Ovis aries: one gene and its partners. The protein of the gene in region 2 purifies or fractionates together with the protein of the main gene of each other region. This does not show direct contact. Links are inferred from orthologs where the notes say so. Each region holds a gene or a part of one and is shown on either strand. Other genes may lie near its edges. The genes, in order: GADD45B, MAP3K4 and GADD45A.

Region 1 (9,971 bases), on a different chromosome or scaffold from region 2:
TCAGGGTTGATTTCCTTTAGGATTGACTGGTTTCATCTCCTTGCCTCCAAGGGACTCTCAAGAGTCTTCTCCAAGACTACAGTTCAAAACCATCTTGGAATAACCTCAGACAGCTCTGAGCTCTGCGCCTCTGGATAATCAGCACAGTCTTCCTGGGTCTCTATTCCACTCCCTGCAAATGTGCACCCACCACACAGGGCTGCTTCCTGGGCACTGAAGGAGAAACTGCTTATGAAAGGCTTCAGTTCAGTTCAGTCGCTCAGTCGTGTCCAACTCTTTGCGACCCCACTAATCGCAGCACCCCAGGCCTCCCTGTCCATCACCAACTCCTGGAGTTCACTCAGACTCACATCTATCGAGTCAGTGATGCCATCCAGCCATCTCATCCTCTGTCATCCCCTTCTCCCCGTGCCCCCAATCCCTCCCAACATCAGAGTCTTTTCCAATGAGTCAACTCTTCTCATGAGGTGGCCAAAGTACTGGAGTTTCAGCTTTTGCATCATTCCTTCCAAAGAAATCCCAGGGCTGATCCTCAGAATGGACTGGTTGGATCTCCTTGCAGTCCAAGGAACTCTCAAGAGTCTTCTCCAACACCACAGTTCAAAAGCATCAAATCTTCGGCGCTCAGCCTTCTTCACAGTCCAACTCTCACATTCATATATGATCACAGGAAAAACCATAGCCTTGACTAGACGGACCTTAGTCGGCAAAGTACTATCTCTGCTTTTGAATATGCTATCTAGGTTGGTCATAACTTTTCTTCCAAGGAGTAAGTGTCTTTTAATTTCATGGCTGCAGTCACCATCTGCGGTGATTTTGGAGCCCAAAAAATAAAGTATGACACTGTTTCCCCATCTATTTCCCATGAAGTGATGGGACCGGATGCCATGATCTTCGTTTTCTGAATGTTGAGCTTTGGGCCAACTTTTTCACTCTCCTCTTTCGCTTTCATCAAGAGGCTTTTTAGTTCCTCTTCACTTTCTGCCATAAGGGTGGTGTCATCTGCACATCTGAGGTTATTGAGATTTCTCCTGGCAATCTTGATTCAAGCTTGTTCTTCTTCCAGTCCAGTGTTTCTCATGATGTACTCTGCATATAAGTTAAATAAGCAGGGTGACAATATACAGCCTTGACGTACTCCTTTTCCTATTTGGAACCAGTCTGCTGTTCCATGTCCAGTTCTAACTGTTGCTTCCTGACCTGCATACAGATTTCTCAAGAGGCAGGTCAGGTCAGGTGGTCTGGTATTCCCATCTCTCTCAGAATTCTCCACAGTTTATTGGGATCCACACAGTCAAAGGCTTTGGCATAGTCAATAAAGCAGAAGTAGATGTTTTTCTGGAACTCTCTTGCTTTTTCCATGATCCAGTGGATGTTGGCAATTTGATCTCTGGTTCCTCTGCCTTTTCTAAAACCAGCTTGAACATCAGGAAGTTCTCAGTTCATGTACTGCTGAAGCCTGGCTTGGAGAATTTTGAGCGTTACTTTGGTAGCATGTGAGATGAGTGCAATTGTGCGGTAGTTTGAGCATTCTTTGGCATTGCCTTTCTTTGGGATTGGAATGAAAATTAGCATGTAATAAATCCTCAAGAAAAGTTTGCTCTTATGCATATCGACGTGGTTCATTTTGGCCACTGCATGTGGGATCTTAGTTCCCTGACCAGGGATCAAACCCATGCCCCGGCAGTGGAAGCACAGAGTCCTAACTGCTGGACCACCAGGTAGTCCTCTTATGTGTGCCTTGAATGCAATGTAAATTTAAATTTTAAAGCACTTACATTTATCAGTTCTAGAGACAAGGGAATCTCATTTGCAAGGTGAATGTGGATATATGCTCAATTTTCTGACTAGGGAAGTCCCCAACTCACAGGTTCTCCAGGAGGAGGGTGTGGGTTTCCCCCTCGGAGGACAGGGTCACCTCTTCTAGAGCAGACAGGGACATTTTCATGGCTGCACCAACCTTAGGAGAAAAATTTAAGAGGGTGCCCGAAGCTCAATCATCAAGATAAATATTTCATTTATTTATTTTCCCTCTTTTGGCCATGCCCCATGGCACGTGGGATCTTCATTCCCTGGCCAGGTATCAAACTCATGCCCTCTGCATTGGAAACACAGAGTCTTAACCACAGGACTGCCAGGGACGTCCCAAGACAAATACTTTAATGTAACATTTTCAAAAATAAAAATCAATGCAAAAAAAAAATCATCATGAAGAAAAGATCAAAATTGGAAATAAAGTCAGGATTTAAACTTGCAAGTGAACAACTCACCTCCCTGCCCTCTACCCCCGACCCTGTCAGATAATGCTTGTTTTAAAACCTTGATTTTTGTTCATCATGGATGGGGATCTTGGGGCATAGATTTTGGTTAAGAATATTATATTAAGATATTGTTTATCTTTTTTTTTCTTTTGGCCTCACCATGTGGCTTGCAGGATCTTAGTTCCCAGACCAGGGATCAAACCTGTCTCTCCCTGGCAGTGGAAGCACAGAGTCCTAACCACTGGACTGCTAGGCAAGTCCCTATAATGTTATACTGATGACTGAGTTTTATGGCATTCCTTTAAAATTTGTGCCTGAGGTGAGTACCTCGATTCCCTTACTCTATACCCCTGCCCTTGGTCCCAATAAAACTTTGTTGACAAAAAATGGGGTGCACAATAGCCAAATGGTAGAAACAACCCATGTGCCCATCAACAGATGAATGAACTAAATGTGGTCCATCTATACAGTCTAATATTATTCAGCCTCAAAAAGAAGGCAATTGTGACACACACATGAATGAACAACTGTGGATGAGTCTTGAGGATATTACGTTCAGTTAAGTAAGCCAGACTCAAAGGACGAATACAGTATGACTCGATTTATATGAGGTCCCTAAAGGATCAAATTCATAGAGACAAAAAGTCAATGGTGGGTGTCAGGAGATGGGGGTAGTTCGTGTTCCATTCCCAAGAGTTTACTCCGGGGATGATAGAAAAGATTTCGGTCTAGATCACGGTGATTGTTACCCAGCACTGTGCATGTATATCATGCCACCGACTGGTATACTTACAAATATCGAAATGATAAATATCGTGCATATTTTACCATTAAAAAAAAAAACCACAGTAGCCTAGGCAGTAGTTTGATTTAAAAATTAAATCTATAAAGTTGTTAATACATGTTGCATATATATGTGTATGTGTGTATAAAGTATTGCATTTGTTACCCCTTCCGGGTGTTTCACCTCCTCTACACTCCGCCCCCGCCGGTTGGTCCCTTCCGGAACTTCGGGCGCAGGGACCTCGCGTGGACACCAGGTGGCGCCGCCGCGCCTCGCAGCGCCCGGGACATTTCGCGCCCCCATGGTGGGCGGCGCGGAGGCGGCGCGATGCGTCAGCGGGACCGCAGGCCGGGGAGCTGGGGGAATCTAGCCTTAAGGCCGAGGCCAGACCCCAGGCTGGCGGGGGTGGGGGTGCAGCTGAGTCATACGGGAGCCCCCGATCGACCGTGGGAGCTAGTCCCACGCGGGCCTGCCCGCCTGGCTCGTGAACTGCTTTCCCAGGGAGATGGCGTGGTTGGCGGCTGTCCGAGCGCGCGGCCGCGCCTGGCGCACACGTGTAACTCCAGCACCAGCTAACTGGGGCCTTGAATTAGTGGAGGCCCCACCAAACCTCAGTTTACCCTTTTGCATCCTGCAGATAAGCATAGCCCATGCTTCCCGGGTTCTTGGGGATTCAATGAACCGTGATACGGAGAACCTGGGGCCAAGCGCGCGCTCCATACATTCAGCGCCCACTCCGGAGGGAATAAAAGCGGCCACCATCACAGTAAGCGCGCAAAGGTGGCAGCGCGTGGCTCACAGATGAACCGGCTCCCTTCGCCCTCTCTCGGGCTGGATTTCCCCCAACAGAGCCGCTGTGAGCAGGGGCAGTCAAACCTTGCAATGCCAGGCGCCTGCAGGGGGCGTGGAGCCTGCGAGGCCTAGCCACCTGCGCCTCCCACGCGCGCCCCACCCTGAAACTCGCGGGGTTGGAGAGGGGGCACCGGGTCTCGGCCCTGGGCTCTGCAGCCCCTGGTTCTGGGGAACTCGAGGCGACCTCCCAGACTACCAGGCGATATTTATCAAGTGTCTCTTGTGTACTCCACTTATTAGTTAATGTTTCCTGCAACCCAGTGAGGCCGGTGCGCATTGTCATAGGACGGGTGGGAACTCTGAGGCCGCTTTCGCAGCCTGCAATTTGGGGGATCTAGGCGGCCTCCTGCGACCACCACCGCGTGCTAGGCGCTTACTGTGCATCCCTCACTTTATTTAGGACTCTGCAATCTAATGAGGCCAACTTTGCATTCCCATTAGACAGATAAGGGCAGAAACGCCCAGAAAGTAAAGTCACCCAGGGGCTGGGGTCTCTGCAGCCTGGGGCTACCCCCCCCCCCCCCCCCCACCACCTAGGGATCGGGCTGCAGACTGGGCTCCCTCTCGGTGTAAAACTGCTGCAGAACCTGGAAAGACTCGGGCCGGGGACTCTCCGGGGACCGGGAGGGGATTCCAGGCCCCCCCCCTCGAAAGTCTGGGCCGCCTCGCGCGCTGGAAATCCCGCGCGCGCCCCGAAACGCGGCGCGGCTGCCGGGAAATAAGAGAAAACTTCTGCTTTTTTTTCTCTTTTCTGGCACTCAAGTTCCCCCCGGCTCCACCCCCACCCTCCCGGCGCCCTCCTCCCGGCTCTCGCCCCCACGTGGGGCACCCCCGCGCGGCGCCCCGCCCCCTCCCCGCCGCCGACCAACCGCAGCGCGAATTTCTCTCGCCTTTGTGTTTTGTCCAATCGGAGGGGCGAACGGGTCACTGGGGCCTCGCCCCCTAACCTCTTAGTCTATAAAAGGCTGTGCCTGCCGCCGCAAGCTCAGATCGCTGACGCCGAGCACTCGGATCTTTTGCAGTTGCTACTTGGATTATTCTTGCTGAGACACTTGCAATTTTTTCCGCCTTTTTTGGGGGTGGATTTCGCTGCCTTCCTAAGGTCTTGACGAACGCTTGGTCTCCGTGGGAAGGCTTTGGGCTTTCCAGCCTTGGATATTGCATTTTCTTCCTTGAACCTGTCGTGAGGCTGTTTTCCACTGTGGATTATAACTGCAACATGACACTGGAAGAGCTCGTGGCGTGCGACAACGCGGCGCAAAAGTAAGTAGTGGCGCCCCTGCCACCTGAGGTCAGGCTGGGCCGGGTGGGGAAGGGGCGCCCCGTGCCTGGCCTGATGCTGACCTCCGCTCTCCCTTGGCCCCAGGATGCAGACGGTGAGCGCCGCGGTGGAGGAGTTGCTGGTGGCCGCGCAGCGCCAGGACCGCCTCACCGTGGGGGTGTACGAGTCGGCCAAGCTGATGAATGTGTGAGTCAGACTCTGTCTCCCGGCTGGGCGCGGGTGGGGACCCTCTCCGCTCTGCAATCTCCCTCCTGCACTCCTGTCTTGCATGGGTCTGGGACACCCCCAAGTGTCCCCATTGTGGATTGGGGATCTTTCTGCCCTTTTTTTTTTTTTTGAGGCGTGGAGGCTGCAGTATGCTGGGGCTACATCACTTGCAAACAGTCGCCTGTTTATGTCCCTGACTTACCCCCCACCCACGCCCGGCCTTTGAACCGAGCGTCTTCTCCCCCACCCCAGCATCTGCTTGCAGATGCCATCCCCTGCACACCTGCAGTTGCTCTCTGCTTTTGCAAACTCCCCGCCGCACGAGAAGGGGGGCCCTTCCGAGTCCCCAGCTGACCCACCCATCCCCCTCTGGCCCCTCAGGGATCCTGATAGCGTGGTCCTGTGCCTCCTGGCCATCGACGAGGAAGAGGAGGACGACATCGCCCTGCAGATCCACTTTACGCTTATTCAGTCCTTCTGCTGCGACAACGACATCGACATCGTGCGGGTGTCGGGGATGCAGCGCCTGGCGCAGCTGCTGGGCGAGCCGGCCGAGACCCAGGGCACCACCGAGGCCCGGGACCTGCACTGTCTCCTGGTCACGGTGAGCAAACTGGGGCTCCGCCCTGCCCCACCCCCACCCGGCACCTGGGCCCGTGTTTGTCAACAAAGTGGAGCTGGCCGGTGTGCACCAGCTCAGCGTTCAGCCACGCTTGGCATGTCCCGTGGGCAACCTGCTAGCCTCCAGGCCTCTTCACCTAGCGAGTTATTTTGAGCCAGCCTGTTTTCCCCATGGGAGCCCTGGGAGAGGGACACTCCCCACCCACTCCTTGGGGCTCCTGCTGAACCCCCTCTTCTCGCCCTCCCACAGAACCCTCATACAGACACCTGGAAAAGCCACGGCCTGGTGGAGGTGGCCAGTTACTGCGAAGAAAGTAGGGGGAACAACCAGTGGGTTCCCTACATCTCCCTCCAGGAGCGCTGAGACCCCGCCGGGCATCGGAAACTCTTGCTGCCGAAAACACAAAACCACATAAATATTTGACCCCCCCTCCCTCCCAGAACAACCCCCCCAACAACCCAACCCGTGAGACCATCGGGGGCAGGATCGCTGGAGACTGAAGACAGGAGAGGGAGTGCGCGGCCGCCCCAGGGCGGGAAGCTTGGAGCCGGGGGCCAGCGGCGGCCACGGTGTGAGGAGAAGACAGGACCCGGGCCAGCAGGAGAGGGGACCCGGGAGCTCAGGCCTGGTGACAGAGCAGACGCAGGAGCCAGGGAGCTGCTTGCTTCCCCTACCAAGGAGGGCCTGGGCTCCACACTTCGGGGGTGGGGTGGGACTGACGACTGCAGCCCCCACCCTTCTTGAGACCCGAGCTGACATCTGCAAAAAAACGGGCCTTGGTTGGCCTAGGGTCGGCAGCCCGGCCCGGACAATAACTTTGGGACTTGGGAGCAGGGGCTCATGTTGCTCTGTACCCATGAACTCCCAGCTTGCAAACTCAGTATATTGACAATCTATTTTGTTACTTGCACTTGTTACTTGAACCACTGAAAGACAGAGGGGAAGCTTACAGATACATATATTTTTACTTCTACTATGATGCCTTGTAATAAATTTTTAAAGCTTCTGGGTTCTTGTGTATTTGCAGTCCCTGTGAGGGACCAGCCCCCACTACGCCCTCCCACCCCAGCAGTGTGCCCCTGCACCCCCTCCTGCAGGCTCACCAGGAAGTGTTACTTAAGTCCGAGTTAGCCGCTCCAGGCTCCTTGCAAAAACAGTGCCTCTTCTCTCTGCAGCCGGCGCCACCCAAGTCCAACAAATCTTTGCCTCTTTTTTTTCTTCTCCCCCCGTCCTGCCCCGTAGCAATTAAAAGACCGGTTTATTACGAAACCTGGCCGCCGTGTGGCTGCTGTTACTGGCGGTGCTGGAGCCAACCCCAGGTTCTGGGCACATGAAGACGCACCCCTGGGGGGCTGGCTGCAGCCCCTGCCTATTCAGCCGCCACCGCAGCGCAGCTCCAGAGAGGTCAAGGGGCCACCTGTGACCACACAGCGAGGTGGGCTTGGAGCTCAGAGCTGCCCCTGAGCTAGGGCCTAGCAGGAAGAACTTTGAGGATCTCCCAGAGGGCACCCCCCCACCCAAGCCTGCTCCATCCTAGGATGGGCCTCTTCACTCCACTGAAGAAAAAAAATTTTTTTTCATTCCTCAAACTTAAATCAACAAGCAGCAAAATACCCGAGGAAGTCGTGCTCCCGGCCCAGCTGGGCTTGGCACGCGGCTACGCTTTGCCTCTAAATCGAAACTGTGAGGCCTGGCCGTCCACCTCCTTGTTCTATCAAAGTCTCAAGTGGGTGACCCCCTGCGGCGGGGGTGGGGGGCGGTTAGGAGCGCAGCCCGGCTGGAACTCCGGCTTCAGTCTTCCTGCCCGGAGCCTGCGGTGTGGGCTCGCGACACCTGCGCAACATCCCCTCCCCTCAGCCCTGCACCTCGGGCCTGGGAACCAGGTGGGGGGGGGGCGACCCGACCCGGGGACCAGCCCAGGCCGCGCGACCTTTCCACGGAGCCCCACGTGGGCGCGCGAGGAAAACCCCGGCGGCCCCGGGGGAGTCACGGGGCTGGGGGGAGCCCCGCCGGGGGAGGATGGGGGAGCGAAAAGAGCAAGGGGAAGTCCCAGAGAGGGAGGTGGGGGCGGGGCGGGGATCCCTCCTGGAGGGGAGATCTGGGGGGTAGAGGAGACGCCTAAGCAGCCCGGAGGGAGATAAGCAGCCCTGAGGGAGTAAGGACACCCCCACCCAGCACAGGGGAGGGGGCGGAATCCCAGTAGGGGGTGGGGGAAGGGAGGTGCTAAGAGGAGATACCCGGCTCTCGAGGAGGCAGAACAAGAGGGCTGCGGTGGGTAGCCTACGGGAGAGGAGGGGGGTCCAACGGGCCTAAGGGGGGTTGAAAAGAATCCCTGTAGGGGGTTGGGGGAGGGGAGGTTCTGTAAGTGGAGAGACCGGAGCCCTGGGGGGTAGAGGTGGGAATTTGAAGAGAAAGGGGTGTGGGGCGAGGGGGCACCCAGAGCGGGAGGGGGAGAAGGGCCAAGGAATCCCTGTAGTGGGTGGGGGCGCGAAGTGAGAGAGAAGACTCGAGCGGGGGGAGGAGGAGCCGACAGTCCGAGGGGAGAGGGGAGGGGGTTCCTGCTGAAGTTGGGAGGTGAAGGGACTGAAGGCCCGCGTGATGGAGGTGGCCTGTGAAGGGGTGAGGGGGGGATGAGGAGAAGGATCCCTGAGATAGGGCCCAGAGACGGGAGAGGGGGCAGAGGCCGAGACCTCAGAGTGGGGGCGGGGCGCGGCGCGATGCGGAAGAGCTAAGGAGGGGGGGGTTCATTGTCCCAGAGCTGACCTGGAGATCCCCCAGTCGGGTCAGCTTGTGGGAAAGCTCCCGCTGGCTCCGCCCGTGGGTGTGGGCCGCTCTGTCCCCGTCCTGACCTTGGCCACACAGAAGGGCCGTATGGCCTCTGACCCTCTCCTCCCTAAGTCTCCTGTGCAGTGGGGACACGATCCCAGGCCCCTGGGCTCCAGGGAGACACAGGGCATGGGTAGGACCTCAGCTTTGTGACCCTGAGCTGGTACCTTAACTTCTCTGTGCCTTTAAAGTTTCCCTTTCTGAAAAGGGGGAATAATAATGCTACCTGCCTGCCTCATAAATTGCTGAGGTTAAACGAAATATATATTCCTCAGATTAGCTTCCCTGACACAAAATGTATTAAAAGGATTACCCATTATTACGACGAGGGCTGTTATCAGCACTGTTGTTATGTTCCCTGCATTTCCAGAATCGTCTCCTTTAATCCTCGCGCAGCCATCCTGTGAATTAGCAGAGCCGAGACTAGGGTGAGGCGAGCGGCACACACTTTCCGTGCAAAAGTTAAGGCAGCAAGCGCCCAAAAACTCAGTCGGCAAGATAAAGAATATTTTCAAGCCATGTATTTTTAACTCGGATGCAAACATTAAAAGAGAGAGAGAAAATCCCTTGGGGACCAAAACCTGTAAATCATGAGAGGATTAGCTGATTTGTCCCTCTGCTTCTCCCCGTGCAGCGTTCCTGACCCGGTTTGATTTAAACTTCGGATATTTGGCTCTTTGCAGGCGAAGTACCAAAGGCTCGTAGGGGGCGTGGCTTTTCACATGGGCGTGACCGAGGAGAGGCGAACCGAGGCTTTGAACTCGGCTGCCACTGCGCGAGCACGGGAACGTTCGAGGTCATGGCTCTTACTTTCTCACACTAGTTCTCCCATTATTATTACTACTATTGCTCCTGCTGTCGTTAAAAAAACCATTGAGTCTTCCTGACGGAACCCGGAACCCAAAGGCTGTTCCGCGGAGTTAACAGCAGCTCGTTGATTCAGTCTTCTCTGCATGCAAACACCCTTAAACTTGACCACTGTCCACTGAGGACGATACTGTTGTTCCATCTTCCAGAAGAGAAGCCTGAGGCCCAGAGTGGAGGAGCCCGGGCTTGGCCAAGAGTCTTAAAAACCCAGGGGTACAGGGATCGGGCAGGTTGCTCCCCAATACACTCCTGCCCCCACCAGATTTCAGG
Region 2 (9,365 bases):
CCAGTGGTTCTCCGTGCTTGAGTAAGAGCACCTAATCAGTGGCCCGTGAGACCAGGCACAGTCTGACTTTTCACGAGCTCCGTATCCTCCTTTCCTGGGCTCTCCTGCGCGTCCTCTGCGGCCGCAGTGCCTTCCTGCCTTTTCTTCGTAGGCCCGGCCTGCGCCTGCCTCAGGCTCTTTGCGCTTGCCCATCCCTGTGCTCGGGCTGTTTCCTACGACTTACTTCCCCGCTTCCTGCAGGTCTTTGGCCAGATGTTATCTTCTCCACGTTTAAAGTTGAAACTCCTGCAAGAGCACCTCAGTGTTCTTCCTTAATTTTTCCTCTCCAGAGCACTTGTCAATAGTTGAAGTACTCTGTAGTCTTCTTTTTTGTTTGATTTGTTGCTTCTTTTTCCCCTCCATGTACTGAAGAAGTTTTATCTCTTCTGTTTGCTGCTCATTACTCCATAACAGATACTGATTAGTTGCTGAATAACTTATCCTGAATGTCCTTGTACACTACTGCCCTTTACAGGCACGTTTTTAGTCAGGCCGTTCTCCCACTTGGTCCCTGTTACAGCCCACCCTCTCTGCCTACCAGAGCACGATCACACAGTCGCTGGACGTCCGAGGCCTCCCCTGGCACGGCTGGGTTACCGTCCTGGTCTCACTCCCCTCTGCTCTGCTCTTTCCAGCTTGGCAGCTTCTCTTCACGGACCCGCCTCCTGCTTAACACACCCTCGTGCGCTTCGATCATCCTTCCTGTTCTTCCTCGACTTGCCCTCCCCCTCCTCCTGGTCCGTGCTCCTCCTGACAGAACCCCGCTGCCCTCTGCTGTTCTAGTTCCTACCTGCAGGGCCTGTTGAGCCCGCGCCCTCAGAGAGCTGCCCTGGTAGTTACCTTCTGCCCCATCTGATGCTGGCTGTGGGCTTACTGCTCTGTTTCACTAGGCTCCAAGCTCCTCTCATCATAGAAGTCAGTAGGCTGCTGCTGAATTTTCGCTGGACTCATTTAGATTTGCTTTATACATTTGGGTTTGCATTTTTAACCCTAGTATTTAGAGTGTATACTTGATGAGAAGCATCAGTGATTATAGTAGTTCATGTTCATTGACTATGAAAATTGTGATGGAAGTTTTTAAAAGCAACTGCATTTAAGGAATTCACTTTGTTTCTTATGCTATCATTTAGTTTATTGAGCCTTTAAAAATATTTTGTCATAGATACATATTTGAGCCCACTTTATACCATTTTGAACATTTAAGATGAAAGTAGCCTGTGGTAATGACATAGCTACTGTGAATGTAATTTAAGATTTTAAGGTTTATAATGGAAAACTGGTAGTAGAACAAAGGTAGATACATTCCACGATCGCGATTTCTGCTTTTTTTCATGTTAATCGTGATTTTATGTTAAAGGAGAAGTGTCACTGTCATTGATTTTGAACTGTCGACATACCAGCTCAATCTTTCAGTTTCTCATTCCAGAGTTAGACTGAGGGGGGACGGTTTTTCTTCTCTGGTTTACGTCTGTTGCTTCTGTTCCCTTAGTGACATTGCAGGAATGCTGCTGAAATCGACAGGAAGCTTTCTAGAAGCTGGCTTACAGGAGAGCTGTACAGAATTCTGGAACAGTGCCGACGACAGCAGTGCTTCAGATGAAATAAGGTTGGGGCTGATTTCCTTTCCTCTCCCATTTCTGATCTTATGTAGTTTTACCCTTGGCAGTGAGCCTATAATATGCCCCTTGTTGAGGCCAAATCATGTTGGACTCGAAGAATGTGGGTTGTAGATCTAAAGGGATTTGTGTGTGACTGCTGTATCATCTTTTCGTGTGATCTCTTAGTTATGGTTTTATGTGAAATTGTCCTTGGAGGTGACTGTTATTTAAGCTAATCCTTAGAGACGATGTAGTTTCAGTTGACTAAGAACTGCTAGGGTAGAATTCATTCGCATGTTCCGGACTGTCTTTAGTTAACTAGTTTCTGTCCTTTAAAGCCTCTGCAGTAGTCCATGAATACATTAACTGACGTTTGGTGCATTTTTGTTGTTTTCACACTCACCTTACCCCTTCTGTTGAACTTTAAGCTTGAGTAGGAGAAACCGTGACTGGTTCATCTGTGTTTCCTTCAGTTGTGTGCACACAGTATTGAGGGTGAGCCATGTTAAAGTGCTGTTTTTGTGGCTTATGTGCCACTCAGAGCTATTTTGTGGCCAGTTATCAACAGTACCCTGTGAGTCAACATTAGGAAGTGCTAAGGCGGAACTAACTTCTCTAGAGGTGTTTTCTCTCACCTTCCAGCATTTGATAGAAAACACATTTTGGGGTTTCATAACACCGGAATCTCTTTATACCAGGATTAAAGAAAGAAGTCACTACATAGGCTCTCACCTGGGAAAATGCTGAATTATTGAGAAATGGAATGAATCAGTTCATAGAAGGTCTTGCCGTTTTGGGCGCTGACATGGTAGACTCAGAATAAGCGAGTTCAGTCATTGGGGTGGTGAAGCAGAGGATGGCTCTTACAGTGCTTTGATCGTTTACTGGGGGTGGATCGAGAAAGGGGGTTCACACACAGTGATGTGTGGGGCTGGCTGTCCTGGCTCCAGGGCACCCCTGTGGGTCGTGCACACCCCCAAGTCACAGCTCAGTGATGTCCTTTTGGTGGATTGAAAACCTCTGTGATAGGTGTATCCACACCAAGAAAATTGGCAAGCACCACACAAGATAATAGTTTAGGGGGAGCTGGTGTTAAATATTCCCTGGTTCACTGCTCCTTTTTAGTTAGATTATGAGCCGAGAGTCAAGAGCCTAATTCCTACTCCAAGAGTTATCCTGATGTTGTTGTCCAGTCGCTAAGTCGTGTCTGACTCTTTGCGACCCCATGGACTGCAGCACGCCAGGCTTCCCTGTCCTTAACTATCTCCCGGAATTTGCTCAAATTCATGTCCATTGAATCGGTGATGCCATACAACTATCTCATCCTCTGTCATCCCCTTCTCCTCTCAGTCTTTCTTAGCATCAGGGTCTTTTCCAGTGAGTCAGCTCTCAATTGCATCAGGTGGCAAAAGTATTTTATGTATTCTAATGAAATCCTAATGAAATGCCAGCAAAGGTCCATCTAGTCAAAGCTGTGGTTTTTCCAGTAGTCATGTATGGATGTGAGAGTTGGACTATAAAGAAAGCTGAGCACCAAAGAATTGTTAATTTTGAACTGTGGTGTTGGAGAAGACTCTTGAGAGTCCCTTGGACTGCAAGGAGATCCAACCAATCCATCCTAAAGGAGATCGATCAGTCCTGGGTGTTCATTGGAAGGACTGATGCTAAAGCTGAAACTCCAATACTTTGGCCACCTGATTCGAAGAGCTGACTCATTGGAAAAGACCGTGATGCTGGGAAAGATTGAAGGTGGGAGGAGAAGGGGACGACAGAGGATGAGATGGCTGGATGGCATCACCAACTCGACAGACATGAGTTTGAGTAAACTCCGGGAGTTGGTGATGGACAGGGAGGCCTGGCGGCGTGCTGCAGTCCATGGGGTCACGCAGAGTTGGACACGACTGAGCTGAACTGAGTGAAACTTTCAGGAAATGGAGTGCACTGCCCTTTGACGGTTGCTCAGTGTACCTGATATCTGCAAGTACTCTCCAGAAAACTGTGGGAGCAAGCTACAGCATATTTCGAGTGCATTCGTAATAATTGCTTGTTTCTAAAATTTTTAGTCTTTATTAACGTGAGTTGGAATCTGCTCTGTCTTTATTGTGTATTTCTTGGTGTTCCCTCATGCATTCTAACTGGGTTTCTGTCCGCCTGGCAGGAGGTCGGTTATAGAGGTCAGCCGAGCACTGAAGGAGCTCTTCCACGAGGCCAGGGAACGAGCCTCCAAGGCGCTGGGGTTTGCCAAGATGCTGAGAAAGGTGCATTCACAGTCCTGATGAGCTGTTACTTATTTTTTTCCTTTTATCTTATTTTTTAAATTAATTAATTTTTTAATTGAAGGGTAATTATTTACAGAATTTTCTTGTTTTCCATCAAAGTCTGTTTATTTTTTAAAAAGCTAACCCTAAAGAAGTTTCTCTGTAACTGTGATCCTAGGACCTGGAAATAGCTGCAGAGTTCATACTTTCAGCCCCAGTTAGAGACCTTCTGGACGTTCTGAAAGCAAAGCAGTACGTTAAGGTGCGTAGTTAAGGCGGTAGAATTATTTTACCTTTCTTACTCTAGACAGAAATTTGTCTTAAAGATGTAGGTAGTAAACGTTTTGGGCTTCACAGTCGATATGTGGACCCCCATGTTAAGACTGACCCATAATTTCCTGATACTGTAACTAGAGAAGCCGAGCTCTCCGTGCTTACTAACTCGTGTTAAGGATGTAGATGAGGAACCCGAAGCATGCGCAGTAACATTTCTGTAATAGATGGTGCTCTTTAATTCAGGATTTTGGATCGTTTCTCTTCCAGGTACAAATTCCTGGCTTAGAAAACTTGCAGGTGTTTGTTCCAGACGCTCTTGCTGAGGAGAAGAGCATTATTTTGCAGTTACTCAACGCAGCTGCAGGGAAGGACTGCTCCAAAGACTCAGACGAGGCACTAATTGACGACTATCTACTCTTGACCAAATGTGACCGCACTCCAGACTCCGAGGACGGCTGGGCCGCCTGGGAGGCGCAGCCTGTCAAGATCGTGCCTGCGGTGGAGACGGTTGACACCCTGAGAAGCATGCAGGTCCGTTCCCTGCCCTGCCTGGAGGCAGTGTTGTTATTGTTACCATTGTTGTTGTTTAATTCGCTCAGTCATGTCCCAGACTCTTTTTGACTCCGTGGACTGTAGTCCCCCAGGCTCCTCTGTCCACAGGATTTTCCAGGCCAGAATACTGGATTGGGTTTCCATTCCCTTCTCCAAGGGATCTTCCCAATCCAGAGACTGAAGCCAGGTCTCCTGCAATGCAGGCAGATCCTTTACCCCTGAGCCCCTGGGGAAGCCCCAGAAACATGTACTGCTTGGACTTTGCTGTTTTGACGAGTTTATTTCCTTACTGTCCTAAAATATTCTGGGAGATTCTTTAGTTGTACTGAAGTATTTGAAATGTTTTATGTCTTTCCTCGCTTCAGCCACGTCCATCAGTTAGAGGCACCCACTCGTGACCCGGAAGGAATTGTGTCCCTCATTTAGTTTGTCGTTGCAGACATCTCAGCTCTCCAAGTGTTGATTTCGCGGCTAATCACTCTATAAACAAGACAAACTTTTTACCTTGTCACCGGCTACTTGACTCCCTTCTTCTGCGTAGTCAGCTTGTCAGCTGCCTACCTGGCAGTGATCCTCTGACAGTCTGTATGCCTCAGTAACTAAGACTGTAAGAAGCCGCTCAGGCCGCTGTGTTCAGAGAGCGTAGCACTGATATGCATACTCAACCGTGTGTAAGACAGACAGCTAGTGGGGAGCTGCTGTGTAGCTGCTGTGTTCAGAGAGCCTTGCACTGATATACATACTCTTCCGTGTGTAGGACAGACAGCTAGTGGGGTGCTGCTGTGCAGCCGCTGTGTTCAGAGAGCCTTGCACTGATATACATACTCTTCCGTGTATAGGACAGACAGCTAGTGGGGAGCTCCTGTGTAGCCCAGGGAGCTCAGCTCGGTGCTCCGTGATGGCCTAGAGGGTGGGATGAGGGCACGGAGGTCCCGGAGGGAGGGGGTGTGTGCGTACATGTAGCTGTTCACACTGTTGAGCAGCGGAAGCATGCCGTCCAGCATTGTACAGGAATTCTGCTCCAGGTAACAAACACACACAACCTGTAAGAAGCCTCCTCCCACCTCTGTGCTCAGCTCTGGAGTGGCAGTGAGTGCGCACCCGCACCTCGAACTCAGCTGGACAGCCCAGCCGCCTGCCCCCAGCGCCAGGAGCCCGCCTGTTCTTGCGTACTCCCTGTCTCAGTGACTGGCACTCTGTCCACTCTGGTGTTTAAGCCAGGATGTGGCTGTTCATAAACGTCCAGCCCCCACCTCCCTCCACTTAAACAGCTCCCCCCGCCCCGAAGCCTTTCCAGTCAGGGAGCCTTCCTCTGCATCCCTGGGCCCGCTCCTGGGTCGGAGCTGATCGCCCCTTTCCTGTGGCAGGGCCTCACTTCTAGTTTCCCTGCTTCAAGCCTCACCTTTCCTCCCTCTCATCCGGTGCTCGTTTTGGTACTTCCAGAGTGATCCTTACAATTCATACATCTCATCACATGTCTACTCAGAATACGGTGGTGACCGTCACTTAAAGAATGCAAGTAATACAGTCTTGGTTTCTGTTTTATAGAAGGCCCCTCGTCTCCTCCCATTCTTACTCCCGCATTTTCATCCTCACACGCTGCTCCGGTGCAGACACACACTCTCAGTCCCCGCTCCAGGAGGATTGTGTCTTGGAGTTCTAGCATACTCCAGACACTGCCTGCCCACACCATCCCGTGGGGTTTCTCCCCGCTGTGCTGGAGAGTCTAGCCACTGGTGCCCGCTGCAGTGCTCCAGGGGAGCAGCTGTAGTCCAACAATGCGCTTTCTCATCCAGTGCTTGCTGGCCGGGGGGCCCTGGGGTCGGTGGTGCTTTGAGACTGGGGGTTGAACTAGAGTGGACAGCCAACTGGGTCTGCGTTTAAGCCCTGTGCTCGCTTTTCTTCCCAGGTGGACAATCTTTTACTAGTTGTCATGCACTCCGCGCAGCTCATAATCCATAGAAAAGCTTTCCAGCAGTCCATCGAAGGACTCATGACGCTACGCCAGGAGCAGACTTCCAGTCAGCCCGTCATCGCCAGAGCTTTGCAGCAGCTGAAGGTATTCCATCGTCACCTCAGTCTTCACTATGCTTTATTTGCATTTGGTGCAATGCAAGGGAAGAGTTGGTGTGCTATAACCTAAGTATTCCAGGGACCTGAACTCTTCAATTGTCCTCCCCATTCTCTGTCTCTTCCCACGTTTCCCGTGTCTCGTGTCTAAGTTAGAATTTTCCCTGCATCTTCCTTGGAACTGTGGAACATTGGAATTGGAAAGGGTGAAAATTTAAATAGTTGTGTGACTTCTTAAGGTCACATGTTTGGTTAGTATTGGACCTTAGGTCTCTTCCTTCCTAACCCAGTTTCTTTCTCCTTTAGCAGTTACCAGTGTTTACTAGAGGTACTGTCAGTCAAAAATGTGTAATTTACAAAAAAAAGATTTATTGTTTCACTTAATAGATGATTCAGTCAAATTGATTATAATAGAGAAAACCAGCTGTGGCTTGTGGACAGGCAGAAAGACCTTCAGAGTTCATGACAAGCTAGAGCCTTGCCTTTTATTCCTGTTTCCCCCTACTTTTTATTTGGTACTCCATTCATCACTGTCCCACAAGCCATCAGTTTTCTGTCACATCACGGCTTTGCTTCCTGAAGAAGCACTTAAAATCACAAGGAGTTTGATAAACGCTTGTTTTTGTTCTGCCAGTCTGATTTGCCTTGTTTAGCTGTAAACATTCTCCCTTATAGATTGTGAAGTAAAAGTCGCTCAGTCGTGTCTGACTCTTTGCGACCCCGTGGACTATACAGTCCATAGAATTCTCCAGGCTAGAATAGTAGTGGGTAGCTGTTCCTTTCTCCAGGGGATCTTCCCAACCCAGGGATTAAACCCAGGTCTCCCACATTGCAGGCAGATTCTTTACCTACTGAGCTACCAGGGAAGGCCCCTTTATAGATTGTCACCCCATTCTAATACCAGGGCAGGGGACTTTTGTTTTTTCTTTTAGTTTGAGTTAATGAATTCTGGAGAGTACAGAATTGTATAGGATGTTGATTGTTCGTGAGCTTGAAAAGTTTGTAGCCTTAAGGACCTGACCTGTCACACTGCAGCAGAGAGGACGGGAGACCAGGTCCTCCCAGTAGCAGCTGTGGAGGCACTGCAGCTGGGGAGGGTTTCTGAAGGTGTAGGTTGGGAAGGGACCAGTGAGAGAAACACTGGGGCGTGGCATCCATGGATCAGGGTCATGGGAACACTCACAGAGGATCCATCTAGTTTGGTTGGATCCTGGTATATACAGTGGGAAAGAGTGGGGGATGCGGCTGGTAGAAAGTCAGGTGGGCAAAAATCAGACTGTTGGGAGATTCTGAATTTCATATTCTAAGCCCCAGAGAGTCATCAAAGATTTTGGAAGAATATTTTGGAATAGAGTATAGGGGACTCGCTTGAGTAGTGAAAGTGAAAGCTGCTCAGCCATGTCCGACTCTTTGCGACCCCATGGACTATACAGTCCATGGAATTCTCCAGGCCAGAATACTGGAGTGGGCAGCCTTTCCCTTCTCCAGGGGATCTTCCCAGCCCAGGAATCAAACCAGGGTCTCCTGCATTGCAGGTGGATTCTTTACCAGCTGAACCACAAGGGAAGCCCAAGAATACTGGAGTGGGTAGCGTATCCCTTCTTCAGTGAATCTTCCCCACCCAGGAATCGAACCAGGGTCTCCTGCATTGCAGGCAGATTCTGTACCAGCTGAGCTACCAGGGAAGCCCTCTAAAAATTTGGCCTGCTTTAACTTAAGGTTCCAATTCTCACATAATCCAGTGAATACATCCCATTCACTAGCTAACGAGCAATAACGTGAATCATCCCATCTGGGAATAAAAACTTCATCAAGCTTAATCTCTATTTTCTTAAAGAGTGGCATTTGGTCTCACAAATCCTGCTCACAGCGCTCACTAATTAACGTTTTGCCGAAAGCTTTCACTTTTCATCTCAGGTTCAAAGGATTTGTTAATAAAATAAGCTGCTCGTTATATACAAATAAATGATACAGATATTCATTAGAGAGTTATCTAGCTTACTTTCAATATGCTAACGTTAAAGGAAAAGAGAAAGAGCAGAGAGTACATCACCAAATTGCGTTTTGACCAACATCCAGACTTAAGCAGCGCTGGGAAATCCTGTGTCACAGCACATCTGGAGTCCCAGTTGGGAAAGGGTCATTATATTTGTGTGTGTTGAAGGGTGAGTGGAAAGGGAACCGAGTTTGGAGCTGTTGTACTGTTGATTAGGGAAGACAACAAAACTTGTGCTAGGGCAGGGCTTTCCAACCCCCGTACTGTTGACACTTTGGGCCAGTCAGTAATTGTTTGGGGAACTGTCCTGTGGCTCAGGTGGTAAAGAATCCACCTGCAGTGCAGGAGACATGGGTTCGATCTCCGGGTTGGGAAGATCCTCTGGAGGAGGACAGGGCAACCCGCTCCAGTATTTTTTCCTGGAGAATCCCCATGCACAGAGGAGCCTGGCGGGCCAGAGTTCACGGGGTCACAGAGTGAGACACGACTGAGTGACTAAGCACAGCACACACCTGTGTGTTGTAGGATGTCTGGCAGCATCCCAGACCTCTGCACAGTGGATGCCAGCCGGTTTCA
Region 3 (10,067 bases), on a different chromosome or scaffold from region 2:
CTCTGTCTGACTTACTTCTCCTAGTATAATAATCTCCAGGTCCCTCCAAGTGGCTGCAAATGGCATTATTTCACTCTTTTTTTAATGGCTGAGTAATATTACATTGTATATATGTACCACGTCTTCTTTATCCATTCATCTGAACTTCAGGGCTTTCCTGGTGGCTCAGGTGGTAAAGAATATGCTTGAAATGCAGGAGACCCGGGTTCAATCCCTGGGTTGGGAAGATCCCCTGGAGAAGGAAATGGCAACCCACTCCAGTACTTTTGCCTAGAAAATCCCATGGACAGAGGAGCGTGGCATGCTACAGTCCATGGGGTCACAGAGTTGAACAGGACTGAGCAACTACCACATGTCTTTGCTATTGCAACAGTGCTACAGTGAACACTGGGATGCATATATACTTTTGAACCAAGTTTTTCTCCAGATAGATGCCTAGGAGGGGGGTTGTTGGATGATATGGTAGCTCTATTTTTAGCTTTTTACTGTTCTCCATAGTGACTGTATCAGTTTACAGTCAAACTTCCTCCTGATTAACCCAAAGTCAACTAAATACTTATACTAGCAAAGTACTTTCACCTTTGTCATAGAATATAACATAATCATGGGTGTGATAGCTCAACACATATTCTATTGGTTCGAAACAAGAAATGGGTTCTACCCACACGCAAAGGAAAAGGCTTATACAAAGGTTAACATTGGGGTTAGAGATCATTGAGGCCATCTCAGAATTTGCCTACAGATGGTCCAAGAAACTAAACGTTTATGTTAAATTCAAATGGAAATATTGATCTTATGAAATTATACATTTTTAGGTGTAAATTGTCTGAACAGTCTTCTTTGAGAAAAAAATTGAGGGAAATTGAGAGCCTGACTTTAGAAACTAACTTTACCAGACTTATACAAAAAAATACTTCAGGAACCTTAGGATTTTTAACAACAAAATGTAATATAATACAGTTCTAGATAAGTATTAATAGTTAATACATCTGTCATAGACTAATTGATATCCTTCAATGTGAAGAATAATATGTCTAGTACTGAAATAATACGCATCATATTTCCTTCAGATGTTAAAGGGTTGATGAATTTTTGAAAGAGAGAAAATTTATCATTCTATACTACAGAACCAGTAGTAAGAATATATGTATGATAATAATGAAAAAAATAAAAAAGACTTTTAAGATGTAAAGCAGGCAGCAGTGCTAAAATTATTTGACAACTCCTGAATATAAATTTATTTTTATCTAACATCCAAATATAACCATTTAGCATCATTATAAATATTACCAGAAGGTCATTCAGTTCTGTGCAGTTGAAGTACTTGGAATTACCTGGGATAATTTTTTAAATGATTATATATATTGGAATTATATTTTAATACAGATTATTTTTAGAATATATGAAAAATGTATATATACACATATGTACCTATCTAGGGCTATTCCTGTAATTTATCATTGGATACCATCCTCCCCAGGGACAAATAAGCATTTATGAACAGTATCATCTAAATGCATCCTAATATATAACTGCAATCTAGTGGCAGACAAATGCAGCTCCTACTTCCAGTGTGAAACACCAAAATAATCAGTGATGAAACAGTCTAGGCAGACTCAGCAATGAGGCAAAATGGTGTAACATATCTGAGTCAGAAAGTATGACAGATGAATATTTTTGAATACTGGAAGGCTAGGCTTATCTCACAGAGAACAACCCCATAGCACTTGAACAAATCACTTTCCCTTGAAATCAAATAAAGAATGCAGTGTACTTGTTGAGTGAGAAACTGGGCCTATATTAAGAAGTAATCTTTTTATACCACATTTTTACTTATTATAATTGACCTTGGTGGGGTATTATCAGGGCTGTGGTTCACTTGAATTGGAATAACAATACATGGGTTCTACTGTCCTACAGTTTCCGTTCAGATGACTAAAGTCATGGGACTTTCAGCATAGCTGGCTGATGACAGTGCATAGTATTTTGTCCCCAAACCCAGTTCAAGCATGGGCATAATAATTAGATGGTAAGCCCTTTAAAGGCAGAGGGCCAGGAATTGTACAGTTCTTGGTATATTGTAGGACAGCAAAAAAGTTTTTTTGAACTAAAATTAAATGTGGAATATCTTAGAATTCATGCATTGCACAGGACTGCAGTATTCTGAGATCTTATTGTTCAATTCAGATTCTACTTAACTCAGTGAACACTGGCCATGCTTCCACCAAATGCAGAAATTGTGGTAGGTGCCAAGAATACCACGTTGATGAAGTCACACTCCCTGCTGTCAAGAAACTCACTCGATTTCCTAATTTGCTGTCAGTTTACAGTGATCATACTTCTTCCAAGGAACCTCTAAGAAATACCTAGTGAGTAGAACCTTGGAGTTCCACAGAACAGAGTTCAACAGTCTCCAAATGATGACTCAGGCCAGATTGCATAATTCAGGTTTTGTTTGCAAAACTGAAAATGCTTCAGCACCTACCTAAATTCCAATTTAAAGGAATTCTTTAAAAGACGCTACATGTTAGAATTTAAGGTATGGATATGAAACATACATTTCTGGGTAAATGACCCACAGACCAGCACCATTCCTTTAGTCAAAACTTGTCCCTTGCTGACAATGCAGTTAAGAGATGAAGTGCAAAATGGCAGCTCAAATAAATGAGCCAGAAAACCTGACCTATCACTTTTCTTTTCCTCTAAATTAAGATCAAGAAAGCTGAAGAATATTTTGTCTAGAATGATATGAACATACGGGTACAAAAACTCCCTTGTAACTTAGCAGAAAATTACTTCTGTGACCTTTGTCTGTACAGTGACCTTAAAAATGCAAGCATTGTTTTGAAAGCAAGCATATGGGAGTATTTTTTTTTCTTTTTTTACCACTTTTGGTGACTTCAGTAGGTTTAACACATATTTTTGCATTTATTGCATAAACTCATGATACAAAGAACTTTCAACCGATTCAAACTCTACATTCAATTTTGTTTTTCAAAAATGTAGAACTACTACTTTCTTTCCACCCACAGATTGCCATTATCTCAAAGGTGAAATTTTAGCCTATGACTAAAAGGACCTATAGCGGCAACTTCATGATTCAGCAACTAACATCAATAATTCACAGTGAGATCATAGGCCCCCTGTGGAAGGTAGTGACATACTTGCCTTATGAAAGGAAGCTGAGGGCATATCCAGAGCATTTTGAGTTTAGATGTGTGCCTTGTGTGGGTGTCAGACTTTTGTCTCTTAGCTGGTGCCCTGCAGAAGGATCCTCCTTTGGGAAAGGCTGAGAAAGGTGAATTGGGGTTGTGAGGCTAGGATAAAATGGTTATACATGTAGTAACCAGCTCCTCCTGAACTCAGTTTTCCACAGTTACCCTGGGCAGGTGGGAAGTCTTTCTGCTTTCTGCATAAAAGATTCCAACTTGGTTTCCTGCCACCACCAAACACAAATGTGTTGATTTTTCTTTTTTGAGCTTCCAACCCTTGCAAGTTTCCAAAAATAAATCAAACCAGCCATCAGGGCACCGAAATAATACTACTACTAATAAGCAGCTTTGCTTAGACTTACATAAACAACACTTCTGAGGTAAACTTTGCCCCAGAAGTCTGGATACACTCTTTTTATATAACCTGCGTACTAATAATTACTAGACTTGGGTGCATTAACCCTGAAAATAGATGTTAATAGCAGCCCCCCAAAACAAAAGACTTGAAACGACAATTAAAAAAAAAAAAGCGCACCAGCAAGAAAAACACTTGGCAGCCAGCTCCAGCCCAAGCTGAAGACACCCTCCTTTCCCCGCCCCCCTACGAAGATCTCCGCTCCTACCCGCCCCGCCTACCGGGTGAGAGTAGGCTCGGAACCCCGCCCGCCCGCGCCCCCTAGGCTCTTTTTCCTCCTGGCCCCTCCCTCTTCCGCTCCTCTCCGCCTGGTTCCTGGAGCTGAGGTCAAATTGTCTGAACAGGCTGATTTGCATAGCCCAATGGCTGCGCGTATGCAAATGAAGAGGATGGTGGTTGGCTGGGGGTTGGCAGGATAACTCCTGGGAGCGGGGCCTTTGTCCTTCAGTGGCTGTGGGGCAGCTGTGGAGTTAGTGTCGTGGTTAGCGGCGAGTGGGCTGCTGAGAGCCGACTAACGAGCAAGCGAGCGAGCGGGGCGGGAGGGGCGGACGGCGCGGTGGTGGCGGGCGCTGGAGGAGCCTGCAGGGGAGTGTGGAAAGCAGGCGCCCGCGCGCCGCCGGTGGCAGGAGCAGCTCGCACGCCGCTCTCTCTCTGTGGGCGACCTGCAGTTGCAATATGACTTTGGAGGAATTCTCGGCTGGAGAGCAAAAGACCGAAAGGTAAGTCGGCCAGAGCCTCTGCCAGAACTCTGCTTGCCTCCTGCGCGCACTCCGGTGCTGCTGGGCTATGCAAGGTTAATGGGGAGCGAGTGGTTCAAAGTTTGCAGCGGGTACCTCCTATCCCGCCTTTCTTCCTCTGGAACACTCCGGAGGCGCGCGTGGACGGGAAGAGCGTACCCCGCACGCCGGTCGAGCCCCTCGAGGCTTTGCAAACGGCAGACGTGACCGTCCCTGCCCGTGCAGCTCTTGCGGCCGACAGCCTGTGGCTGCACCCAGCGCCAAGGACTAGTAGAGCACTAGGGAAAGGGTGGCGGATGTCACTCTCGGGGCTGCTCACAGGATGCCGGGCCTCTGGGCGTAAGGGTTATGGGGGGAAGGGGATGATATCCCAGGGAGTCCTGGTTTGCAAAAGGTCGAGGGGCGCTATTGCGCGTGCCCTCGGTTGGGAGGGTCGCGGTGCAGGGCGAGGAGGCGGCGACTACCCGGAGGGGCTTAGTGTGACGGGATCCCCTTGCTTCTTCCCGCGTGTAGGATGGATAAGGTGGGGGATGCCCTCGAGGAAGTGCTCAGCAAAGCCCTGAGTCAGCGCACCATCACCGTCGGGGTGTACGAGGCGGCCAAGCTGCTCAACGTGTAAGTGGAGCCCTCGCGTGACCCTCTTGGTTCTCCTGTTCGCCCTAGCCAGAGAAGGTCGCTTTCACTGGTCTCCCCTCGCCCTGCAGCGCCACTTCCTGCCGCGTGCCATCTGTCCCGTGGCTACTTGTCCCAGGGGGAGTGAGCGGACCCGGGCGCGACCCCTGACACCTGGGCGGGGGGTGCAGGCTGCCACGCGGCGGGGCTTGCCTTTGGGCTCACCAGCCCGTTCGTTCCCTGCCCGCAGCGACCCGGATAACGTGGTGCTGTGCCTGCTGGCGGCGGACGAGGACGACGACAGGGACGTGGCTCTGCAGATCCACTTCACCCTGATCCAGGCATTCTGCTGCGAGAATGATATCGACATCCTGCGTGTCAGCAACCCGGGCCGGCTGGCCGAACTCTTGCTCCTGGAGACCGATGCGGGCCCCGCAGCCAGCGAGGGCGCAGAGCAGCCCCCGGACCTGCACTGCGTGCTGGTGACGGTAAGGGAGAAGGGGACTTGCGGGCAGCTCGAGGTTAGAGTCCTGGCAGGAAGTTCGTGAGTGCTGAGAGTCGCCTGACTCCAGATCTGAAATGGGCGAGGGTTAAGAGACGGGAGCCTTTGCCCCATTAAAGCGTGTGGCTGGACTTTCAGCCGAGATGTGCTAGTTTCATCATGGGGATTTTCTCTGGGACAGAACGTGTCTAAGCACGTTGGAGGCTGCCAGAAGCGGAAGAGATCCTTGTGACTCAGCATTGTCAGTCCAGCTACTCCCTACCTACATCTGCACTACCTCCCGTGACTAATTCCTTTAGCAGGGCAGATTAGATAAAGCCAAATAAATTCCTGGCTCACCCTCATTAAGGAGTCAGCTTCATTCTCTGCCAGTCAGAGCTAAAAATAGAAATGGTGTAGGAGACAGACCTCATTAATTCCCTAGAAATACATTAAGAGGATAGAGTGGAAATTTTTTCTTTGTGGTCTTGAAGTTTTTTAAATGCCCCCATGCCCCCTTAAAAACCTTTGAAAGGTAGATAACTTGTATTTACAGAGATAAATGTGATTGTTTTGTGTTTTACATTTTGGAACAGTTTGATCTCCTTAAGTGGCAGCCTCATTATTTTGCTACTCCTGAAAAATACTACTCTCTCTTTTGGGAGGATAACAGGTGGCAGTTTTAGTTAACTGCTCTGCAGCTCTAAACTCCTGGTAGCCCAGCACTGAAGTATTTCTCAGGTGTCCACCAAGGTACAAGTTTGGTAGGACAAGCCTATGAATAATACTCTCAGGTAAAAACTGAATAAATATGAAAACATATATATGACTCAGTTAGTTGCATGTGTTCAGACTTTGCAGAGTATAGCTTTGTAGAGAATTACCCTTAATGATTTTGCAGGAAACCCAACTACCTGGAAAAAATTTTTTAATGGTTTTAAGTGGTCTGTAACACTGCCAAAGTATAGAATGTTCAAGCGTCTTCCCCTCAGAAGTATTGTAATTAGTAGCAAAGTCTGATTTTTTAAAAAATAGTAATTTTGTTTTCTCTAAATTTGTTCCCAGAATCCGCATTCATCACAGTGGAAGGATCCTGCCTTAAGTCAACTTATTTGTTTTTGCCGGGAAAGTCGCTACATGGATCAGTGGGTTCCAGTGATTAATCTCCCTGAACGGTGATGGCATCTGAATGAAAATAACTGAAGCAAATTGCACTGAAGTTTTGAAATACCTTTGTAGTTACTCAAGCAGTTACTCCCTACACTGATGCAAGGATTACAGAAACTGATGTCAAGGGGCTGAGTGAGTTCAACTACATGTTCTGGGAGCCCGGAGATAGATGACTTTGCAGATGGAAAGAGGTGAAAATGAAGAAGGAAGCTGTGTGGAAACAGAAATACAAGTCAAAAGGAACAGAAATTACAAAGAACCATGCAGGAAGGAAAACAAAACTATGTATTAATTTAGGATGGTTGAGTTACATTTAAATAAACCCAATATGCTTTGTTAAAGTTTAAATGTGCAGCCATAGTTTGGGTAATTTTGGTTTTTATGCCCTCAAGTTAAAAAAAAAAAAGGGTTAATCATATTTTAAAACCATATTTTATTGTATTTTGATGAGATGTTAAATTCTCAAAGTTTTATTATAAATTGTACTAAGTTATTTTATGACATGAAAAGTTATTTATGCTATAAATTTTTGGAAACACAATATCTACAATAAACTGGTATGGAATAATTGCATCATTTCTTAATGTGTACTTTTGTTTCTTTAACTTGTACTTTATTTTAAACAAGTTTTCTTTTTCAATATGGAAAAATTAAAACCCATGTGAAATCATGTATATATAGTATATGTGCATCTGTATATATAGATGTGTGTGTATGTATGTATATAAAATATTTTTCTACTCAAAACATTTGGGCTGAACATGGCATGATATTGGTTTTTATTTATTTAGTGGGCATTTTAGTGATGCCTTGCTCTACCCTACGCCAAAAGTCAGAAAAACAAAGGTGATTTAGAAGTTGGGTTGGAATTAGGGAAAAGTGGTGCGGGAAATTACAGTTGCAAAACGGATACAGTTAAATGATAACAAGTGCTCTAATATTATATGCAACATGTTATAGAAGCAGAGGGGAGGGAGTCACCAAAGACCTACCTGCAAGACCAGTGAAGTTTTTCCTGGGAAGAGATCATTTTGTTTGGATCTTAAAACAGGAAAAGGATATTGCTAGCAGCAGCACTAGTTTCTGGGAAGGTGTGGAGGCCTGAAAGACCAAAACCTGTTCAGGGAACCAAGAGTGATTCCGTGTGTGCCTCTGGCGTAGAAAGATAAGGGAGAGATAAGGCTGAAAGGTAGGTGGGATTAGGCCCAGACTGGGAATGGCATTCCATGTCACCCTTAGCATTTGGGCTTTCTTCTGTAAACTTTGGCCCGTCTGCAGACGCCTTCACGCAGGGAGTGACGTGATCAGTGTTTCAGGAAGATAACGCTGGGCACTGAAAGACGGGTTATTGGATAAGCTGCCACAGGTGAGAAGGCCAATTGGAAAGTGACCGCAACCGTCCAAGGCTGTGCATTTTGCAGAAGCACATTCAGGAAACAGGGAGTGGCTTGCTGAAGATTTTGGTGCCATTTTTCTCTTTCTAGAGCTGTGTGCCTTTCAGCTGAATGTGTGTGCTATGGTTCTGAGGGGTTTGTCTAAATTAGATGGGAGAGGGAAAAAAAGAGCAAAAGAAATGAAAGGCTTTAGCAGAACAGTCATCTTTTACTTGGAACAGTCACTTGATAATTAACTGCAACAATCTTTTGGACATCCAGCCAAAGAAAGCAAAAATGCCTACTGAGGAGAGGCCTAATATAGCTTTGGTACTCGGGATTTTTCTTTGCCTACTTCTCAAACCATACCCTCCCCCACAACACCCCATGGCTCCTGGGCCATCTGTCTCCCACCCTTGTCATGACTACATACAATCAGGAAAAAGTAGAAATCAGAGGAGAGAAATGCCAGCTAAGAGTTACAAAAAGCACCAAGTTTCTGCATATCTTAGGAATAACATAGGCACATGAGCCCTTCACCTTGCAATTAAGTTTCTGTTTTTCCACATCTACCAGAAATGTGGAGTTGTAGTCCTTGTTTAGGCTTGTATCTTATTTAAGCTAGTGCCTGATCCAAAATGTAACTGCTATTTAATAGTTGTTTTTTACATTATCAGAAGATGGAAAGCAGAGAGTTTTAAACAGATTTTTTTTCCGTCCCATTAAGTAAAAATACTTCCAATTCTTTCCCAAAACTACTTGATTAAAGACCCTCCTGCAGAGATGAGTAAATTAAACTCGGAAGGCAGAGTGGGGAGGAGCGGCTTATGTATGTTCTTAGTCACTCACTGTGTCTGACTCTGATTTACAAATAATGAATGCAATCTACCTGGCACCTGATAGGTGTCAATACAGTGTGTCTACTACTAAAACTGGAGCGATGGCAATAGGAAAACTTCCAAGGCATCAGAAAAATCTGTTGCTTATAACGCGATATACGTATTCAAAGAGAAGTGTCTTGCATGTGTACTCTTAGTGCTGAGAGATGAAAGTGGTAGTGTGCATCCTTGAGGTTGTTTGCTTTCAGAAAAATCCCAACAATTCACGGGATTTTGAAGTCTCAGTTTTTAAGTATTAACAGTTGTTATTCCTTCCTGATTGAACATAACACAAAAGTAACAGGCGTTGAAAAATCCACTCTGAAACAATTGAGTTAATTGTAAACAAGTATGCAATTACCAGGGCAGATTCTGCCTCTAAATGTTGCTAGTATTTTTCAGTTGTTGCTTTAAATGCTATTAACCCTGCTTATTACAAGTAAGTGGAAATGTTACAGCGGGGACAGAAGTCCCCTCCTCTTTCTAAGGTGTGTTGTTTGTGGAAAATACCTACTTTTCCCACTGGCAACTTTACCTCAGTGTCATAAATGGTATTGACTCCTCCCTCCTGTAGTTCGTCAAGACCCTCAGTAAATTAAATTTCTATAATGAAAGGACTCATGAAGGTAAGTAATCTCCCATAATGCATATTTTATTTCCCAAATGAAGAAAGTGTCATGGCTAGGAAAGAGCTGTTTTGTATATTGTTAATTGGAAGTGTTGTCAAAGCATGTTTTGAGACGCCTTGCTATAACCCTTATAAAATCATTGTTTCCTCAATTTTCAACTATATGGGTTCAATTTTATTCTTTGAGATTTGATAGAAGGCTGCAAGCAGTGAGATGTGGTTCCTTTAAATGAATAAAACTCTCAATGGCATGATTTAACACCAGGCCAGTGTCCCTCAAACTGAATTGAATCTTTTTTTTTTTCCTTTTTCCTTTTAAACAATCCTTAGATAACCATCAGGATTCCCCCAGTGGCTCAGCAGTTAAGAATCTGCCTGCAATGCAGGAGATGCGGGTTTGATTCCTGGGTCAGGAAGATCCCCCGGAGAAGAGGGTGGCAACCCACTCCAGCGTTCTTGCCTGGAAAATCCCATGGACAGAGGAGCCTAGCAGGCTTCAGTCTATAGAGTTGCAGAGTTGGATATGACTGAAGAGACTTAGCGCATAGCACTATAAACATA

The links.
Region 1: the proteins of MAP3K4 (region 2) and GADD45B purify together in Homo sapiens (co-immunoprecipitation; 3 studies listed by BioGRID and IntAct, counting the BioPlex papers as one, with this or other methods). This does not show direct contact. The link is inferred for Ovis aries from reciprocal best matches to the Homo sapiens genes MAP3K4 and GADD45B.
Region 3: the proteins of MAP3K4 (region 2) and GADD45A purify together in Homo sapiens (co-immunoprecipitation; 3 studies listed by BioGRID and IntAct, with this or other methods). This does not show direct contact. The link is inferred for Ovis aries from reciprocal best matches to the Homo sapiens genes MAP3K4 and GADD45A.

The regions. Positions count from the first base shown.
Region 1 is NC_056058.1:18,907,051-18,917,021, reverse strand, and holds GADD45B (growth arrest and DNA damage-inducible protein GADD45 beta), read left to right. Parts: upstream 1-4,884; 5' UTR 4,885-5,116; coding exon 5,117-5,160; intron 5,161-5,263; coding exon 5,264-5,365; intron 5,366-5,767; coding exon 5,768-5,990; intron 5,991-6,257; coding exon 6,258-6,371; 3' UTR 6,372-7,014; downstream 7,015-9,971.
Region 2 is NC_056061.1:84,488,429-84,497,793, forward strand, and holds part of MAP3K4 (mitogen-activated protein kinase kinase kinase 4), read left to right. Parts: intron 1-1,528; coding exon 1,529-1,645; intron 1,646-3,795; coding exon 3,796-3,895; intron 3,896-4,073; coding exon 4,074-4,157; intron 4,158-4,438; coding exon 4,439-4,702; intron 4,703-6,632; coding exon 6,633-6,782; intron 6,783-9,365. UniProt on the Homo sapiens protein: Component of a protein kinase signal transduction cascade. Activates the CSBP2, P38 and JNK MAPK pathways, but not the ERK pathway. Specifically phosphorylates and activates MAP2K4 and MAP2K6.
Region 3 is NC_056054.1:43,320,778-43,330,844, forward strand, and holds GADD45A (growth arrest and DNA damage-inducible protein GADD45 alpha), read left to right. Parts: upstream 1-4,073; 5' UTR 4,074-4,302; coding exon 4,303-4,346; intron 4,347-4,877; coding exon 4,878-4,979; intron 4,980-5,226; coding exon 5,227-5,464; intron 5,465-6,522; coding exon 6,523-6,636; 3' UTR 6,637-7,200; downstream 7,201-10,067. UniProt on the Homo sapiens protein: In T-cells, functions as a regulator of p38 MAPKs by inhibiting p88 phosphorylation and activity.